Mus musculus: one gene and its partner. The protein of the gene in region 2 binds, or shares a complex with, the protein of the main gene of each other region. Links are inferred from orthologs where the notes say so. Each region holds a gene or a part of one and is shown on either strand. Other genes may lie near its edges.

Evidence for each region.
Region 1: the proteins of Tbc1d20 (region 2) and Rab1b are in contact, whole or in part, in a crystal structure (PDB 4HLQ), measured with the Homo sapiens proteins. The link is inferred for Mus musculus from reciprocal best matches to the Homo sapiens genes TBC1D20 and RAB1B. Residues at the interface, in NP_653229.1 of Homo sapiens: Gln97, Gln98, Leu101, Asp102, Arg104, Arg105, Leu107, Arg108, His141, Tyr142, Tyr143, Gln144, Gly145, His147, Asp148, Phe177, Met178, Asp179, Pro180, Thr181, Met182, Lys186, Val212, Ile215, Leu218, Ser219, Thr223, His227, Met272, Ala273; in NP_112243.1 of Homo sapiens: Ser17, Gly18, Ser36, Tyr37, Ile38, Ser39, Thr40, Ile41, Gly42, Val43, Asp44, Phe45, Gln60, Trp62, Ala65, Gly66, Gln67, Arg69, Phe70, Thr72, Ile73, Tyr77, Glu94.

Annotation. Positions count from the first base shown.
Region 1 is NC_000085.6:5,097,834-5,114,356, forward strand, and holds Rab1b (ras-related protein Rab-1B), read right to left. Parts: upstream 9,164-16,523; 5' UTR 9,106-9,163; coding exon 9,092-9,105; intron 7,418-9,091; coding exon 7,345-7,417; intron 7,096-7,344; coding exon 7,000-7,095; intron 6,904-6,999; coding exon 6,808-6,903; intron 2,966-6,807; coding exon 2,834-2,965; intron 2,740-2,833; coding exon 2,545-2,739; 3' UTR 1,374-2,544; downstream 1-1,373. Other genes in the region: Cnih2 (protein cornichon homolog 2), read right to left, coding at 350-430; Klc2 (kinesin light chain 2), read right to left, coding at 10,772-10,855, 11,270-11,327, 11,468-11,592, 11,660-11,809, 11,900-12,008, 12,364-12,431, 12,534-12,634, 13,305-13,404 and 6 more. UniProt on the Homo sapiens protein: The small GTPases Rab are key regulators of intracellular membrane trafficking, from the formation of transport vesicles to their fusion with membranes.
Region 2 is NC_000068.7:152,300,328-152,303,827, forward strand, and holds part of Tbc1d20 (TBC1 domain family member 20), read left to right. Parts: intron 1-1,824; coding exon 1,825-2,010; intron 2,011-3,500. UniProt on the Homo sapiens protein: GTPase-activating protein (GAP) specific for Rab1 and Rab2 small GTPase families for which it can accelerate the intrinsic GTP hydrolysis rate by more than five orders of magnitude. Also shows GAP activity for RAB18 GTPase.

The DNA of each region.
Region 1 (16,523 bases), on a different chromosome or scaffold from region 2:
GGGGGGGCACACAGACAAACTGCCCGATGGACAGACGGGGGTGGATGGATGAGAATATAGAAGGATCAAGAATTCCGCCCCTGCCCAATGACTGGATGAAGCAAGGAGAGGGTCAGGACCTACTGACATACCCACAGACAGGCGGGGGCGGTGAAGGAAGGGGGGGGCTGCCCCGGGGGAAGGAAGCCAACGACAAGGGGGTGTTGGGGGGTGCGAACAGAAACCATGGGGGCTAGTGGAAAAGACCTTTCAAGTTTCCCCGGAGCACTGATACCATCAGCCCCAGCCCCCTCCTGCTCCATAAGCCCACTTGCCCCCCACCCCGCCCCCAGTCCAAGCCCAGTCTTACGTGCCAGATGACAAAGAAGATGAGGGAGGCGCACAGCACCAGGGTGAGCATGTAGCAGAATGCTGCGAAGGTGAACGCCATGGCCCCCGCGCCGGGCGGTGGCCCGGGGGGCGCCAGCGCGGGGTCTGGGCGCAAGGGGACGCCCCCCGGCCCACACTTAGGGCCGGACGGGCATGGCCCACCGGACTCTAGGGACACGGACAGCGCGTCCGGGACCAGGGCCACGAGGCCGTGGGGGACGCGGGGCGCGGGCCGTGGGGCTCGGGGGGCGCGTCCGCTGCCGGCTGCCCGGGCCCCGATCGCTCATCCTGCGATCCCTCGCCCGCGGCTCCCTCGCTCTCCAGCCCGCGAAGCCGGCGGGGCGGAGCCGGGGGCGGGGCCGCCGTGCAGCGGCCTCGGGCGGGGCTGAGACTCAGAGCGCCCCTCCGCCAGCCTCATCAGCCCAGCACAGCCACTCACCCCAATGAGCCCAGTGTTTGTGCACCTCCAGAACATGCAGACCTGGAAGCCCGTTCCTGGTACAACTTTCGGACAACTAAGCCCACTATAGCCACATTCTGTACTCCCGTCTCCACAGAGTGCTGGCTCAGGGGGATACAACTGAGGTCCTAATGTAAAGCAGCGCTTGTCAAAGCTCAGGATAGCTGGCATCTGGCTTCAAGCCACAAGAGGGGACTAAAGTCGGGGACTGGAGGAGGGGAAGACTAAATGCAGGGGGACCAACGCCTGCTCCTTGCTTCTAACTTCATGCCTTGAACGCCTGTCCCAGTGGATGTTGGTGGCTCACCTGACGGCCTCCTGCCAGCCTCCCTCTGACAGATTCATGCTGGGCCCTTGGGGACATCCCATAGCCGCACAGCAGGCTTTCCCAGCCCCAGTATGTGGGTCAAGGGCTTTTACCAGCAAGCTTAAGATACAGTCCAAGCCAGGACCCCCCATGCATCACACCAAACTCTGGACTCCAGTTCCACCCAGCAACTCAAAGCTGACTCTGACCATAGACCACACTCAGTCACCACCGCTTCCTTGCAAAAACCCTTGGCTTATCCAAGGGCCAGTGGAAATTTATTTTTTCATCCTTTTCCATCTTCCCCCAAGTGGCTTTTCCTTGCAAGATGCCTGATGTGACATCAGAGGGGAACCTGGGAGAAGAGGCTCCCTCCCAGAGGGGCAGCCCAGGGACTTAAATACACACTGGAGGGGGAGGACAGGTTGTAGGGTGAGACTGGCAAGAGACAGCACAAAGGACATGGCTTCTTAGGTAAAGACCAAAGGTTTTCTACAGGAAGCTGTGCCAGAGGGTGGGGGCCAGGATTCTGAGTTGGGAGGGGGAAGAGCCCCACAACCCCAAGCTGCACCCACATTCCCCAGAGAAGCAGGTCTGGCCCTGTCAGGCTCTGAGGAATGGAGGAAGAACAAGCCAGATGTGCTGCCTCGGAAAAGGGAGGTGGTGCTGGCAGAGTGAGGGTTAAGGCTGGTGCCCGGCCTTTGGCAAGGTGGGCCTTCCGCCTCCGCTTTCCTCAGGGACAAAGGGGCTCGGTGGGCAGGCAGCACATGGGCCTGGCTCAGGCAGGGCAGGGGGAGGCAGGAGCAGGCTCCCTCCCGGCTTGAGACACAGGCCCCGCAGCCATCCGCCCACCTACCCTAGATGTGCTCAAGACCTAACCGCAGCTGGACGGCTCAAGCTGTGTGGGAGCGATGGAGTGAGGCAGAGATGAGGAAAAGGTGGCTATGGGGCTCTCGCAGCCCTGGCACCTGTCCTGAGGTCCGATGCAGGACCCTGGATCTGAGGCCCTGGATCCCCTGGCTACTGCCTGCACCCAGGGGCAGCAGAGGCAGGGAGGCCCTTGCTATTGGGAAGAAAGGAAAGAGAAACCCAGTGCAGCATACATGGGGGTGAGTGACAGACAGCGGAGCCCTCATTCCAAAGAAAGGTGCGTGGTGGGCATCTTTTCAAGGTACCCAGAGGCAGCAGCGGAGCTGTCCCTGTGACCACCCCAGCCACAGGCTCTGCATGTCCTCCACGGGGGCCCTGACAGGACTGGGACTCAGAGCAGAAGGCAGATGGGCCAGAGGAAGATGGGGAGCCCAGGACACCCCAAAGCTACAGACTCAAATGCCCTAGGAGAGGGAGGCACTTCCTGCCCGCTCCAGGGGCATCATCTGGACAAGGTGCCCTCCCCCAAGTGCCCCTCCTAGCAGCAGCCACCGCTAGCAGGCTTCACAGGGGTGCTGTCGATCTTCAGGTTGGGCCGTTCACCCCCAGACGCTGCTCCTGGCCCCATCCGCTTTTTGATCTCTGCAGCCATTGTCATGAATGCCTGCTCAACATTGGTGGCATTCTTGGCACTTGTCTCGAGGAAGGGGACACCCAGAGAGTCTGCAAATTCCTGCGAAGGGAAGAAGAGAGAGAGGGGAGCAGGGAGAGAAGGGGTGAAGGCATGTGGGCCCCAGACCCCTGACAGCCAGGGCAGGCCTGCTCACCTTGGCCGTGGTGTTGTCCACGACCTTCTTGGTGGTGAGGTCACTCTTGTTGCCTACCAGGAGTTTATTGACATTCTCACTGGCGTAGCGATCTATCTCCTGCAGCCACTGTTTCACGTTGGCGTAGGACTCCTAGGCACAGTGTCCAAAGTTACTGCACACCCACACCCAGGTCAACCCAGGTCTAGAGAACAGGACTCCTTTGAAAGGCAGGCCCCGAGCACGGGGATTCTGACAAAGTCTCTCCCCCACCCCAAGCCCAGGTTTAGCTTTCCCCTGGTTCTCTCCCATGCGGAAACCTGAAAACCAGAAGCAGAGTGGAGTAGTGCCTGCCAGTGGCCATCACCTCAACAGCCGCCTGCACCTACAGTCATTGCTGCTTCCTGCAGTTCTTTCTCCCTAACCCTCTCCTGGGAAGCCAAGGACATCAGAAGAAAGGCAGGTGACACCAGGCATGACTGATGCAGGAAGATCACAGGTTTGAGACCAGCCTAGGGTCTCAATGAGACCCTCTCAATGAGACCTTCTCAAAATAAAAGGAAAAGGGGGGCTTGGAGAGATGGCCCAGTGGTTAAGAGCACTGGTTCAACTCCCAGTACCCACAAGGCAGCTTACAACTGTCTGTAGCTCCAATTCCAGGGGATCTGACACCCTCACAGACACACATGAAGGCAAAACCACCAATGCATATAAAATACAAATAAGTCATTAAAAATAATGAAAAGGAGGCAAGCATGGTGGTGCACGCCTTTACTCCCAGCACTCAGGAGGCAGAGGCTGGTGAAGCTCTCAGTTGCCAGCCTGGTCAGTTCTAAGACAGCCAGAGCTACACAGAAAATGCCTTTTCAACACTTCCCCAAGCCCCCGCCCCTCCCCAAATGTGGCAGGCATTTCACGACTGAGCTACATAATCTCCTGCCTTTAAATTTTGAAGCTTTGGAGCCCATGGGAGGTAAAGGTTCCTCCCATGGCGACCATGGCTGATGAAGGAGATAGGTTCACCTGCTTCTGATACTAACAACTCTAGCAGCTTGACATGGAACTTGTACAAAGGATGGAATTTCTATAAATGGGCTACGCGTGCACCGTGTGTGTGGCTCATGCTCTTGGATGCCAGAAGAGGGGTCCGTTCCTCTGGAACTGGAGTGATAGAGATCTGTGAGCTGCCACGTTAGTGCTGGGAACAGGAGCCTAGGTCCTCTGTAAGAGCAGTGAGCACAATTACTGCTGAGCCATCGCCCCAGCTCCTCTTTTCCTTCAAGTACACTGTGTTCTAATGTACACACCGGCATGTCCTAAGCTGGGCTCTATGCTGAAAGGAGGGGACATCAAACATACACCTGCTTTAGGGTACTGGGGACCGTAGAGAAACAGACCAGTACACACACATGACAAGATGGGATAAAAAGCCAGCGTCAAGCAGCCCCAGGACGATTACTGCCTAGGAAGCAACAGCCAACCCTAGCAGGCAAGCATGGACTCAACTAAAAGCTACCCGCTGAGGGCACAGCATCTGCTAGAATGAGAGGGTGTGGTGTCTTTGGGAAGTGGGAGAAGAGCAGACTGCAGGTTGGGAGGAATTGGTCAGGACAGAGCTCTGCCTAGATGAACTTAGCACAATCATGAGCTAGTGGGGGTTTTCTTAGACGAAGACTGTAAGGTCACACCTGTGTTCTAGAAAGTGCCTGGGCAGGACCAGAGCAGACCAATAAGATGCAGAGCAACTAAGAAGCGGATGGGCTAATCTAGAGTCCTAAACCAGGGAACAAAGCAGGAAAGAGCACAGACTTAATCTGGACTGTCACCTAAGCTTGGTCATTTATTACATGACCTCAGTTATCTAGTCACCTGACCTGGTCAGTTTCCTCTTTTGTACAGACAACACCTCCCAGCAGAACTGTTGTCTGCAGGAGAATGGAAGCAGGCCTGTCTCATAACAAGCGCTCAATTAGCAAGAGCTGCTATTATCCTCATCACTGCTATTATTATGAGGGACAGATGAAGTGAGGAGGGAAGGACGGAGGTGCCTGGAGACTAACTATGGAGACGGCAAGTTTTCTGTTCAGGAAAACAAGGATTATGTTACAAAATGATGATGCAGGAAGTGGGTTGGGAAGATGGTGAGTGGAGCGATGGAGTCTGAATCCTGCAGCTGGTGTGGAGCCCACAGAGGCAGCTGAAGGCAGGGAAGGGGCTCTATCTTTTCTGGGATACCAGAGGCAAGTTACTGATTCCTCTGGAAAACAATTTCTTCAAATAGAAGCATGCTGTACTAGTCAGTGCTTTTCAACTTGACACAAACCTAAACATTTGGAAAGAGGACAACTAAACTGAGGGATGGCCTCCATCAGACTGCCCTGTAAACTTATGGGGCATTTTCTTGATCGATGGTTGATGGGGGAGGGAGGGGTGTGCAGCTCACTGTGGGCAGTGTCACCCTTGGACAGGTGGCCTTCGGTAGTCTAAGAAAGGATGCTGAGCAACCTATGGGGAACAAGGCAGGAGGCGCCTTTCTCTGTGGCTCCTGTTTGGATTCATGCCTTGGCTTCTTTGATGACGGACTGAGCACGAGGGCGTTGACATTTCATTCACTGGCTAAGAAGAGCATCGGGATTGCTCCCATTACAGACACTGAGGGCCAGCACAGCGCAGCGGAGAGCTGGGAACCAGGGGACATAAGAATCCCAGAACACAAGACAAAACCCAAACCACAGAAGAGGCTAGAGTCAGTCAGGATGCTCAAAATATAGGTTAGTGGGCAGTAAAGGTGTGTCAATAAAAAAAGAACTAAAGGGGTTGGTGTACAGCTCCCTGGCTGAGTATATGCTAGTTGGGGTGGGGGTGTGGGGGAGACGACAGGGGAGCTACAAAAATGTTCAAGGAAAGAGAAGAAAACCAGTGCAAGAAATCAATTCGGGCAAGAAGGTGACTGGGCTTTTTGGTAGTAACTAAAGTCTTGGTGACCTTTGCGTGACACTTGGGTCACCCAGCTTAGAAGAGCTGGGAAGTGAAGACATGGGTATCACAGCCTCTGGGCTCCCCCAGCCCAGGACTGATCACACTTCCATATCCCTGGCGAGATGCAAGCAACAAGGCTTAATAGGAAAAGCAAAGCAGATGGGTCAGGGGACCAGGCTTTTTATAACTAGATGGAAGGCCCTAGCAAGTTACTGCACCAGCCTGTACCACGTCTCCGTCTTTAAGATGGGAACATGAGGGACTTCTCATGAGCATCAAAAGACAGTTATATAGCCAGGCAGTGGTGGCGCACACCTGTACTTGGGAGGCAGAGGCAGGCGGGTTTCTGAGTTTGAGGCCAGCCTGGTCTATACGGATTGAGTTCTGGGACAGCCAAGGCTACATAGAGAAACCCTGTCTCAAAGTAACCAAAAGAACAACAACAACAACAAACAACCAATTAGAAGCTAGGCACAGTGGTGGCTGCCCAGGACCTCAGGACCACTTAAGCTGAGGAATTTGGGACAGGCTGGTAACAGAGCGAAACTCACATTTAATGGGGTAAACAACCAAGGAAATCTAAAGGCTACAGTGTCTATAAGCTGTAAGACACACTCAGGACAATTGTTGGCTGCTGCCAGTGTGACACATGACTGAAGCCACCACAGCAGATACAGGATTTCAGAATCTCTGCTTACACCGGACTCCTTCACGTGTTGTCTAAAGCCTTCCAATTGCTCCTCGAATCTGGAGACAGGAAGCATGGAACCAAGAGCAACCAACCAGCTGATTAACTGTCACCAAACATGGTAGTCTAGAAAGTCTAGAATAAAGTGGCAGGAGCCATGAAGCCTGGTTCTATCAAGACTCCATGACAGGGTTTGGTAGGATCCATTTCCTTTTTATGGAGCGATTCAATATAGTGTCTCCCTTCTAGAAAGCTTAAGGAAAATGAAAACAGGAAAAGCAGCAAGAATCAAAACTCAAGGCTAAGGAGGCAAGGCTGCAAGCGGTACCTGGTCAGTGACGTCATACACCACAATGATGCCATGAGCCCCGCGATAGTAGCTGGAAGTGATGGTCCTGAACCGCTCCTGACCAGCTGTGTCCCACTACGAGTCAGGAGGAAAAGGGTAGGTCAGCCACGGGAGAACTCCCACCCCGAGGAAGCCACTTTTGCCTGAGGGCTGGAGAGGGGTCATACTCACAATCTGCAGTTTGATGGTTTTGCCGTCCAGCTCAATGGTTCGAATCTTGAAATCCACACCGATGGTGCTGATGTAGCTCTCTGTGTAAGTGTCATCCTGAAAGGTTGTGGCTGGTGAAACGGACTGAGCAGACAGGTCCCTGCCCTGCTGTGCTCCTCACTGTGCCAGGCGAGGTTCTAAGCTCCCCAACTTGCAAGGAAGGCCTGGGCCCTCGCTGTGGCGGCTCCAGCAGCCTCACTCTTGGTTCTTAGGACTTGCAACTACACTGAGTTCTGAGTTGCCCCTTCTTCCTCCCAGTGGCAGCCTGAACCCCAAGTGGATAATAGAGGGGTGCTTCTTACTCACAGCAAACCGCAGGAGCAGGCACGACTTGCCCACGCCGGAGTCACCAATCAAAAGCAGCTTAAACAGGTAGTCACTGGCGAGAGAAGATGGGAAGGTATGAAGGCAAGCAGGAAGTCCTCCCCTGTCCCTTCCTGCACTAAGCACAGCAGGACTGTAAGGCATACTTCTGCTTGGTCTACTACGGTGCTCACTAGAGCCTTCTACTGTTCTGAAAAAGGGACAAAAGTAAGTAAAAAAAATTGACCCTTATTAGCCCCCAATAAGCTAGCACAGTTTGCTAAGAGATATGTGGTATCATTTGGTAAAAACTAAGAAAATCACATTAGGCCATACAGTATGCCAGTCTAGGACCCAAAAGGGAAACCTGACCCATAAAGTCAAAATAAATATGAAGCTGGAATGGGAGGTGATGAGTGAGTGTGTGAGTGTGTGTATGTGTGTGTGTGTCTGTGTGTGGTGAGGGGAGGACGGTGCTTGCCTCTTGGCAGAGGCAGACAGAATTCTGAGTCCTAGGCCAACCTGGTCTACAGAGTGAGTTTCAGGACAGCCAGGGCTGCAGAGAAACCCTGTCTGAAAAATCCAAAACAAAAAACAAATGTGAAAGAGCCTGAGATGAAGTCACACTAACAGGAGGCAGTCAACAAGTGGCCATGGAAGCAGCCGTCAATACTAAACTGGAACTGACCCTGTGTGAAGCACTTGAAATCACCCTTTACTAAACCCTCACAACAGTGCACACAAGTGGGTGAGTGTTATTTCCAACCACTGAGGAAGCCAGAGGTCACAGAAGGGAGGTGACTTGCCCTAAGCAGTTGAAAACTGTGAGACTGGAAACCAGGCCTGTCAGATTCCAAGCTCTTTGACAGCCAGCCGGTAGCTTCCCCCTCCTAAGCCCACTTCTGAGTTCGAGCCTCCTCAAGGAAATCTGAGGCCTCGAGTTGGGGAAGAAAAAGGAAGTGGAGACAGGGAAGAAGATAACGTGGGTGCAAAACTGCATGCCGGCCATCTACTCCAAAGGGTTTGGGCTTGAGGAATAAAAATTCTACTCCAAGGGAGCAAGCAAACTCCACATTCACCTAAAGTTCTTTGGCAGTGTGACAGGAAGCCAGCTGACAGTGGCACTGAAGGCCCGAGCAAAGGTGAGAGGACAGAAAAGAACAGACCGCCGGGAGCACCATGACAGCACGACCCAAGCAGGGCAAATGGTAGCCTCGGAGGAAAGGATCTGCAGGGGATGTGAATCAAACAGGGACTTGGGGGTCCCCTCTTGTCTTGTTAGCTTCTAGGCCAGCCCTGGGACCGAGGCTCCAGAAGAAAGGCAAAGGCAGAGAGGTTCACAGCCCAACTCAAAGTACTCGACTGTGGAGATCAGAAACTCTAGCGATGGGCTCCAAACCGCCTGCCCTTGGTCAAGCTGTAGGTGGGAAAATTGAAGCTCAGGGAGACCAAATCTGCACGGTCACCTAACCAAAAAGGCCTGTGAGGGCTGGTGCTGCGGGCTCCAAGTGCTGCCCATTCAGGCTGCAGCCTCCGGGCCTCGGGCTGCAGAACTCGGGGTGTTGAGTCGGGGTCCTGGGGATCCCGGGGGGAGGGGCAGGACCCGGATGTAAGGGGGGGGTCAGCGGAAGAGGGACCCGGATGTGGGGGCGCCGCGCAGTTCTGACCAAGGCCAGACAACTTCGGCAAGCATATAGCCCCATAGACAGGATCGAGGCTGCGCCGCACGGCGCGGGCGGGGCTCACTCACTATTCGGGGTTCATGGCGGCAGCGGTGGCCCGCTCGGTCGCTCCCAGTCGGCTCTGCTCCGCCTCCCGTTCCAAGATGGTTGCCACTCCGCCCTAGAGGCCCCGCCCGCGCCGCGCAGGCGCAAATCCTTCCGACTCGGGTTGCGCCGCGCTGCCTTGCGGAACCTGTAGTTTCCATGGATATTCGACTTGCCACTGCTGCGCAGGCGCAACTCAGGGAACAGAGCGGCCGTGCACTCTCCAGAAGCCACCCGCGAACGGCCTTCTGGGGTCTGTAGTCTTCCCAATCACTGAACCGACCCAGCTACAAAAAAATCTTCGTTGGGCTACCTAATCTGCAAGTTTGGATCTTGTTTAGTACCGGGGTAGGTAGGTATACTTCGCCTCTGAGGTGGGCAGCCACTTTTACCCTCTCGGTTCGCAGATTGAAACTAAAAGGTGTAGCGTATTTAGGACCAGAAAATTTTGACTTATTCAGTGTTCTTCGTGGAATGGACACTGCAGCCTTAGTACCAGGATTATATGATCACTAGTATTACATATATGAAAAACCATCTCAGGAAGCTCAGTCCAAGAACGTATTAAGAAGTCATAACAGGCAGAATTGTCTAGAACCCCATAAGGGCATGTGTTAGGTGCAACCCCAAAATCTGTAGCATCCCCCCCAAACAGTTCAGGATAATGGCAGAGTATTAGTTCCAGCCTCGAGGGCAGGGAATGATATGCGTGTGTATCCTGTATCCCTCACTCCCGCAGCCTCTCCCGATTCCACCCGACTCAAGGGATGCTCAGGGGCTCTGGGACTCCTCAAAACAAGCCCGGTTCAGATTCAAATCGTCTTTATTTCTACAGCAACATCTGAAAATAGAGAGTGACTGCCTTACCCAACAAATGGGGTAGCCCCTCCTACTGTGTGGGAGGAAGGGGGACATCAGAAGCTGAGGCAAGGATGGCGTGGCAGGATGGCTCAATGGGCTGTGCCCAGGGTGGGGTCAGGCCATGCCTGGGAGGGGCTGGGGTGGGGGCGGGGTGGGGGAGGACAGTGCATTAAGTCCCCGGAAGCAGCACAGGGCCCTGTGGTGTGAGGGTCTGGGCATTTGCAAGATGGAGTGGAACGAATCCCTCCAAGACCAGGCGAAGAGGTCTAGGGACCCCTTTTGGGAGGCTCTGGTCCCAGAACTTGAAGCTTGGGAGATACCACCACTGGGAACGGGGTGATTTAAGGCCTGGGCGGTACCACTGGATAAGAGAGAGGCAGGTGGTGGCCCGGGAATACCGTGGACTGAGAGGAGGGCTGAGAGGATGACACACGGCCAATAACTTATTTCTCTATATACAGAAGCAACGGCCGGGAGTGGAGGGCAAAGGTGCTGAGGGGACAGCAAGTACTTAGTGTTCTTGGCTTTGGGGCTGGGTAGACAGGCCACCACTCCCACAGGCCCTGAACTCAGGGAAGAAAGGCCCCCTGCTGGAAGAATAAATAAGGAGCAGAGCTGGAGCCGGCAGGACCGTCCTCCAGGGCCATGGCTGAGATGACAAGGGAGGAAGTTACCCTGAGATTGAACAGAAAAGACAGGGGTCCTTGGGAGGGGCAGGCAGGACAAGCAGCAGGCCCATGCGCAGGGCTGGGGGAAGGGACCATGTCGGATGGAGGCTCTGGTGACTGGCTGCCCCTTCAGCTTTAGCCCACCAGGGAGCTTCTTCGAGAGAGGTCCATGGAGCTGGAGCTCAAAGTGCGGCTGTCAGAAAGACCCGTGCCTCCAGGCTGTGGGCAGAGGATGCAGCTTAGTCCTAAACTGTTGGGAGTGAAGGGGGACGTGGGGGGTGGGGGGACGACACACACGCAGCATTCCAGAAGAGGAAGGGATGATAAAAGGGCCAAACTAGGTGCCCTGTGCAAATACAGCCAGTCTAAGACTGGCCAAAGTTAAAGTTTAGCTCACAACCAGGACCTGAGAGCTTCAAGTGGGAACTGGTTGACTGGATCTCTGCCCCAAGGCAAGAGTTTTCCCTTTATCTGACCTCTCCCTCCACTTGTTTCTACCAATCTCCGCCTGAAACCAGAGCAGTGGTTGGCTAAAGACTCACCAGGGGAAGTTGGGTGGGGCCATACACAGTAAAAACAGGGCCCAGAGGCCTGGGTCTAGGCTGCCTAGTACCAGGTGCCCTCCATTCTTACCTGGACTGGCTCTTCCACACTCTTGTTAAGGAAGTTAAGAGAGCTGGCCCTCTTCATCCTGAGAAAAAGGAGGGCCAGGATTTGTTAATATTAGGTGAGATAATAAAGGGATACCAGGTTGGGTCTGGGATGGAGGGCATGATAAAGCAGATCTGGTGACAGTGTTTTCCGAGAGGGATGGGAGGGTCAGCAGCTCACCTAGAGTTAGGGGGCTCCTGTGGGCCCCCTCCCTGCAGCTTCCTCACCAGCATCTCACTGCTGCGTCTCAGAGCATCCCGGAGCTTCCCAAAGGAGCCACTGCGCCGCAGAGAGCCGCTGCCGTCCTGTGGGAAGAACAGTCTCTAGGCCCTGCTTTGTAGTCTTACAGCCCTCCTCAGCCTCCACACTCACCCCACTCCACTCAGCTGCAGGCCCTGACTCCTCCAGGTCCGACTCAGATTGAGGCCCAGCCACATCTCTGCTGCCACGGCGGTGTCCTCGTCCACCACTGCCATCTTTTAACAGTTCTACCACCTTGGTCTGGCTGGCAGGATCCAGGCCCTGAAGGGGGCAGGAAGCATCAGACCTGACTAAAGCACACATGGAGCCTCATAGGTCTCTACTTATCCTCCTCCACCATGAAAGCCCTACCTGTTTGCGGCTGCGGCTGGCACAGTCTTCCAGTGTGTGTGCGGCTTCCAGCTTGCCCTGGCGCCGGTACAGGGCGCCCAAGCTTCGCAGAGTGGTGTTGACTGTGGGACTGTGGACAGATATCACATGGGGGTCTAATATCGAGCAAACAGGCCACGCAGAATCTGCCTTTCCCCACCTGCCTAAGCCTGTGGTAAACCCACTGGTCTCTCCCATTCTGAAAGACCTGGCCTAGCCCTAGATTTCTAGGATGCTGCCACCAGGATCAGAAGCTGGGGACCCAGCAGTGAGTGGGCCAAACTGTCACGGGGCAGATAGTGTTTTGGGTCAGGGCCTTGAGAGGTGAGCTAGCATGAGAGAGGCGTCACAGGAGTGAGGATAGTCTGAGGCCTGGGTCTCCCTCACCAAGGATGCTACTTCCCTGGTACTCATTCTCCTCCTGCCCCAGGCCCATCAGCCCTCACCTGTCAACTTTACAGGCTTTGTACCAGCTGCCATACTCCCCATAGGGGGCGCTGTCCCGGCGCTTATCCTGAGGGAGAGACCAGTCAGTTGAGAGCCGGGAGTAAGCCAGGCTCCTTCCATCCCAGCCTCAGAGCCGCCCTACACCTGCCAGCTGCCCACAGCTGCCCACCTTGCTCTCCTCGCGCTCCTCTGCGTGCATCCAGATGGGCTTGTTCTCTCCTAGAAGGGAAGGACTGTCACCTGCCTGCCACACAGATCTCTCCAATCGGGCTGCACATGGGAGTAATGTCAGGGCTATGTAGGAATGACCCAAACTGGGCTTTGTTGAATAGAAGAACAAGAGGCAAACCCAGAACATCACTGGCCATCCTCTGGACCCAGATGAACCAGCCACATGGAACAGGAGTAATGGGGAAGGCCCTTATACACCTTGGACTAGAGACTGGTGATGGGCCTGAATGATGGGCCAGGGTGAGGAATGGGGATCAGGAAATGGCCAGAAGGTTGTTCCGGGGAAGAAAAGACACTCGGGCCAGCCCTCAAAGTGAATGGAAATTGTCATGTAGAGAAAGAGGAGACTGGGTGTACTGATAGACGCCTTTAATCCCAGTACTCAGAGGCAGAGGCAGGCAGATCTCTGTGAGTTTGAGGCCAGCCTGGTCTACATAGTAAGTTCCAGGACAGCCAGGGCTACATAGTCAGACCTTGTCTCAGAGAGAGACAGAGATAGAGACAGAGAGCAAAAGACTGACTGAGCAGGGGGTTTGTCAATTTGTCTGGCCAGGGCATTGAATTGGGTGGATGGGTTCCTGAAGGTGTGTCTGGGCTTCTGCCAAACTCTAGGCAAGATGGCTTGCAAGGCCAAGTACTGCCCTGGGTACTCCTGGCTGAGTAAGCATGTGTTAAATGAACTGGAGGTACATAGCAACTATGGACTCACCATTGACTGAGCCAAACTCCTTCTCGTGCGCACGGGTAAGGATCTCCTTGTACAGGGTCTCTGCATCCTGGTACTTGCCCTGTTTCAGGTAGCAGGAAGCCTGGATGGCAGAGACAGTGGGTAAGCAGCCTGCAGGGAGCTTAGTTTTCTTTCTCCTTCCTCCTGGACATCAGCCCTCTCCCTCCCTGCCTCCTTCCTTTCCAGCCTCCCGCCCAGCCACAGAGCACCAGGTTGTTCTTGGTCTTCGCCACATTGGGGTCATCAGGACCAAGGCGTGTGGCATAGATCTCCAGGGCTCTCCGGTAGTAGTATTCCACCTCCTCAGCTTTGCCCTGGTTCTGGCACAGCAAGGCCAGGTTGCTGAGCTGCTTGGCCACATCTGGGTGAAACTTGCCCAGGACCTGGTAAGAGTCAGCGGTCGGGTTCAGAGTTGCCCAGATTCTACTGTCTGCCCAGCACTCTTGGCCCTGCCTGCTCCCACCTTCTCCCGGATCTCCAGTGCTCTCTTGCACAGTGGCTCAGCCTCTTTGTACTTGCCCCGTTTGCCGTAGAGAACAGCCAGATTGTTGAGGGTCGCAGCCACCTGGATGTAGGAGAATGGAGGTGTCTTCACTCAGGGCCCTAGCAGGCAGGGGGATCTGGAACTTGTGAGGACTGGAGAGGAACACTTAGGCTAACTCTTACTCACAGCTGGGTGGTCCTTGCCCAGTGTCTTTTCCCGGATAGCCAGGGCATCATTGAGCAGGTGAGCAGCATCCTTGTACTTATTCTGGTCCCTGGGAGCAGGCAGGACATTCAGGAATGTCCTCCAGCCCGAAGCCTGCCCCCAGGGGCCCGTAGTCCCTGCAGGCACTTCTCCTGGGGTCACTGATGAGTGGACACGATAGGAGTGCAACTCAGAGCATGGGAGGCCTGGGCAGCCCTACCCTTGAGAACTCTGAGGACATTAGGCAGTTTACCACACCTCATAGCCAGACCCCTGAGTAACTCAACTTTAAGTGATCCCCAATGCATTGGCTCACGGTCACTTTCTGCCACAGAAACCCTTTCATCCATCATGAGTTCTGGGCCAACTTTCCACCCCACCTGTCTTCCCTTGCTTGTCCTTTTCCTCTCTTCCCAGGGTTTCATGTATCCCAAGGTAGCCTTGAATTAGGTATAAAACCAATTCCCTAAACGAGGAAAATACCTAAAAAAAAAAAAAATTCCCAACTGTCTCACTTCCACTTCCTAAGTGCTTATAGTGTGCACCACCACACCTGGCTTCTAACTCACTTTTTTAATTTTTTGGTTTTTCTAGACAGGGTGTCTCTGTATAGCCCTGGCTGTCCTGGACTCACTCTGTAGACCAGGCTGGCCTCAAACTCAGAAATCCGCCTGCCTCTGCTTCCCCAAGTGCTGGGATTAAAGGTGTGTGCTATCACTGCCTGGCCCAACCTTGTATTAAAACTCTGACAGGTGTATTTCCAGTTGGAGGCCAGCTTTACAGAGGCATGTTCGTCTTTCTGTGCTGCTCAACTGTCCCCGAGACACTCATATGGAAGGATGCAGGTATGCCCACACAGCCAGGGGGCCCTTACCGATAAACCAGTGCCAGGATGTTCAGCATGGTGGCCACATCAGGGTGGTCATGGCCTGATGTCTTCTCCAAATCTTCCAGTGCCTGCTTGCAGAGGGGCACGGCCACCTCATAGCGGCCTTGTGAAGCATACTGGATTACCAGGTTGTGGAGGGTCCGTAGCCGTGCTGGGATCTCATAGCCCCCATGCTGTGCAGCTACATCTCCTCCTCCAGGGCTGGGGGCTACGAGGCCAAGGGTAGGAAGTCAGATGTGCCTTCTCCTTTCTGAGCCAAGCTGGCATATGCCAACTATACCTTTTGCTCTTGTGTACCTGGGCAAGTCACCAATCTGCCTCAGCTTCTGAACTTTCAGAGTAGGTTAGTTATTGCACAAGGAGTGAGTCCTACCCCTCATCTCATCTGCATCTACATTTTCTTTTGTTTGTTTTTCAAGACAGGGTTTCTCTGTGTAGCCCTGGCTGTCCTGGAACTCACTCTGTAGACCAGGCTGGCCTCAAACTCAGAAATCCGCCTGCCTCTGCCTCCCAAGTGTTGGGATTAAAGGCGTGCACCACCACCGCCCCGCCTGCATCTACATTTTAAGAGAAACATTTTGGTCCAGCTCAGCAAGGCCCTGCATGATTTTTCTGTCTAAAGAGGTCCAGAAAGTAACTGACTTTGGCCAGGCTCAGCTCCTCCAGACCTACTAAGCTTGTCATGTGCTCTCCACAGAGCTCAGGGATGCAGCAGGGAAAACCTGAACCTGCCCTTTGATTTTTGTTTTGTTCTGTTTGTTTGTTTTTTTCTTTTTTGAGACAGAGTTTCTCAGTGTAACAGCTCTGGCTGCCCTGGATGGCATCCAACTCACCAAAGATCCGCCTGCTTCTGCCTCTCCGTTGCTGAGATTAAAAGCATGTGTTACCACTGCCTGGCCAAGACTTGCCTTTTAAACCCTAACATGCTAGGACATTGTAATTGGAAATAAGGCAAAAAAAAGCATGGATCTCACTAATACCCACCTCTTATGACCTACAGGACTTAAAGGACCCTTCCCTCAACTCAGAGCTAACTGCCCTTTTATACCTGGGCTCTGTTCATCTTCATTGGGAAACAGGTCATCCAGGGAGTCTTTGGGGACATCACCCTTCTCCTCCTGGAAAGGAAGACAGGAATGATTGTCAGCCCCAGTAGCAGAGGTATCAGCAGGCATGTGGGAACTGGATGTTGGCCAGCTGGGGCTCACATTTGGGGAAGCATCCTCATCCAGCTTTCGGATCTGACTCATGAATAGCAGGTGCTGCTTCTCTTCCTCCAGCTGAGCCACCGCCTGTTCACTGCGCTGCAGCTTCTGCTGTGTCCCTGCCAGCTCCTCACGCAACCACTGGTTCTCTTGTACCAGGCGCCGCACCTGAGCCCGCAGCTTCTGCTTCTCTGACTCCACAGCCCCCAGATGGCTTGATAATGCCAGGATCACCTGTGCAGCCAGCCAGACCAAGGTCAGAATCCTAGCCATCACTTTGCCTATAACTACTGCCTCAGTCACCTGGAGGCCAGTGAAGGGCTGGGCCCTGGCTAGGTAAATGTCAGGCCTCCTAAGTTCTCCCCTTCCCAGGACCGCAGACCTACATCTAAGACCGAAGAGTAGGTTTGGTAATTTTG
Region 2 (3,500 bases):
GCCAGGGCTATACAGAAAAACCCTGTCTCCAGAAAACAAAACAAAACAACAACAAAAATAAACATCTTTTTTAAAAGTTGAGCTGGAAAAAAAAAAAAAACAAGCAAAAAACCCCAGCAACAACAACAAAAAAGTTGAGTTGGGCATGGTGATGCACATCTTTAATCCCAGCACTTGTGAGGTAAGCAGGCAGATTTCTTCATTTGAGGCCAGCCAGAGCTACACAAGAGAAACCATCTCAAAGCACTCCCAGCTGCCCGCCAAATAAAAAGTCATTTTTGAAGCCGGGCGTGGTGGTGCACGCCTTTAATGGGAGGCAGAGGCAGGTGGATTTCTGAGTTCGAGTCCAGCCTGGTCTACAGAGTTCCAGGACAGCCAGGGCTATACAGAGAAACCCTGTCTCAAAAAAACCAAACCAAAACCAAAACAAACAAAAAGTCATTTTTGTTTTGTTTTTTGAAATAAGACTTTATACCCCAGGTTGGCCTTGAATATCCTATGTAGAAGAAAGAGTCTGGCTTTGAATTTGTGAAAGTTCTGAGTCTGCCTCCCAAATGTTGGGAATAGAGGCATGCTCTGTTGTGCATGGCTTCTAAAAGAATAATTTGAGTATTATAAATTGGCTGTAAATAAGACTGTTACATATGAGTGTGAGCTGCTTTGTGACTGGAGTGTAGCTCAGTTGGAAGAGTGCTAAGAAGCCTTGGGTTCAACCCACTGCACTGCATAGAATCAGCCTGGGATCCCAGACCCCTAGTCAAAGCATGTAGGGAGCAGAGGCAGGAGGCCCAAAAGTCATGATCTCATTGTTGGCTACAGAGAGAGCAGAAGAGTGGGGCTAGAATGATGCTCAGGAGCTAAGAGCCTTACTCTTCATGGCTGCTCACAGCCACCTGAACTAGATCAGGGGATCTAAAACTTTCCAGACTCCACTGACCCCAGGCTTTCAATAGGTACTCACACAGACATGCAGGCAAAAAACAAATACACAGAAAAGAAAAATAGATAAATCTTTTAAAATATTTTTTAAAAATCTTAACATGATTAACACACTACTTTCTGATTGCCAATGATGAATGGAGCTTTAGAAAAAAAGATTTATTTTATGTGTATGAGTGTTGCCTATGGTTTTGTTAAATGCATTGTTGAGGGTGTCTTGAGTTAAACGTGGGGCCTCACACACAAGTGCCATGCTGCTAGGACACATTCCCCAAGCCTAGTATTGAGTTTTGAATTACATTTTTTTCCCAGTATAAACAACTAAATGTTTTCTGACCTGGTGGTAGTGGCACATGCCTTGAGGCCCATCACTTGGGAGGCAGAGGCGGGTGGATCTCTGTGAGTTCAAGGCCAGCCTGGTCTACTAAGCAAGTTCCAGCATAGCCAGGCAGGGCTACTCAGAGAAACCCTGTCTCAAAAAACAAAATTAAAGTTTTTTTCTTTCGTGTTAAGGGTTAAGCCCAAGACCTTTGGTATGCTAGGCAGGTCCTGTACCCTGACTTCACCAGCCCAAGAAGACCACTTAGATTGAGATATCTATGCTTTGTGAAATGTGAACAGAAAAAAAAGCATTGACAGTAGCTGGTACTTACTGATGATTCCTAAAACTGTAATTCCTTGTTACTTACGTGGGCTGTGGTCAAAGTGTTTACACATGTGCTAAATATGTGTAGGTTTTGTAAGAAGCAAGCATGAGGGCCAAAGCTGTCTTAAGAGAAAGTACCTTAGACCAAGTTAGGAGATGGGGACTCTAAGCAGAAAAGTACACATGCTAATAAGAGTGTGCTTCATTCTCTGCCACACGCTGTTTGTTTGTTTCTCCAGACTTTAATGCCAAAAGGAAAAAGAAGGTGGCAGAGATACACCAGGCTCTGAACAGTGATCCCATCGACTTGGCTGCCCTCCGACGAATGGCTATCAGTGAGGGAGGGCTCCTGACTGATGAGATCAGGTGCCAAGTATGGCCTAAGCTCCTCAACGTGAACACCAGTGAGCCACCGCCTGTGTCAAGTAAGGGAGCAGAATCCTGAGGTGGGGGCTTCAACTAGGGACTGACATCTTGTCTAGCTAGAGGTGTTTGCTTAGGGGGAAAAAGAGGAATTCTCTTACGTGGTTGGGAAGATGGCTCAGAGGACCTGGGTTCAGTTCCCAGCACATTTAAGGTGGCTTACAACCATTTGTAACTCTAGTTCCAGAAGGTTCAATGTCCCCTTCTGGCCTCCAATGGCACCAGAGAGAAGTGCTAAGGTTCCTTGGCATTCTAGAATTCTTTAATTCAGTACAAGCTGTTGATTAACGACTTTGTAAGCCATGTAGTGATGGGAAATCTGGGGAAAGCACTGGGAACAAGTGCTGCAGAGCACCAGTGCCATTGCCTGCCCTGCCACCCCTGCCACCCCTGCCACCCCTGCCACCCTGCCACCCTGCCACCCTGTTCATGTGGCAGTGGACTCTGTGTCCAGTGTTCTGGGACTTATCAAATCTCGGTGTCCCTGCTGTGTACCACATACTAGATGTGATTAAATGATTCATGTGCTAAAAGTCTGATGATGTAGTGCACAGTGGATGCTAGGTTGCTACATGTTACACTTGCTATGGATATTTGAGACTGGCTGGCTCAGAGCAGTGGGCTTTGTGTTGCAGGGAGTCAGGCGCTTTGCCCTGGGAAGGCATTTTTCTCTCACATTCCAAACTGCACGACAGATGCTAAGATGAAGAAAGTATATGTGGGTGAGGGTTGGGGGTGGGTATGTAAGTCTTACACAGGTTCCTCTGTGTGGGCTGTGAGGAAAATGAACTTACCCAGCACTTGGCTTGGGATAAGGATAAGACATGCTTGTATCTGTAAACTAGCACAGTTGATAAGAACATTTGCTTAACATGTACAAGGTTCAATCCTAGCACTGCACAAAACTAATTATGGTGGCACATGCCTGTAATCCCTAGTATTGGGATGGCATCAGGAGAATCTAGAGTCAGAGAGAGGCAGGTGGATCTCTGAGTTCAAGGACGGCCAAAAGAGGGCATCAGATGCCCTTATAGATGGTTGTGAGCCACCATGTGGTACTGGGAATTTAACTCAGAACCTCTGGCAGAGCAGCCAATGCTCTTAGTCTCTGAGCATGGCCTTTCCTTCAGTTTCTGCTCTACTCTTTGTCCCTGCATTTCCTTTTGACAGGAGGAATTCCTCAGTCGGGGGGCCATGCTTATCCACTGGATATGATCTATACAGGTTCTCTCTCCCCTTCGTTGGGTATTTTGGCTCATGTCATCCCTGTTGGGTCCTGGGAACCTCTTGAGTCCCTGGCATTTGGGACTTAAAGTGGCTACTCCCAGGTCCCCCTCTCCAACTGCTACTCACCTCTGTTCAAATTCCTGACCCTTTGTACGCCCCCCCCCCCAACACCTGATCCCCTGTGATGTTTTAATATGTAGTTGTTAGTATTTAGCAGTTTTACTCCAGAGCCACTCCCATGTCATATCCTCAGATGCTCAAGGCC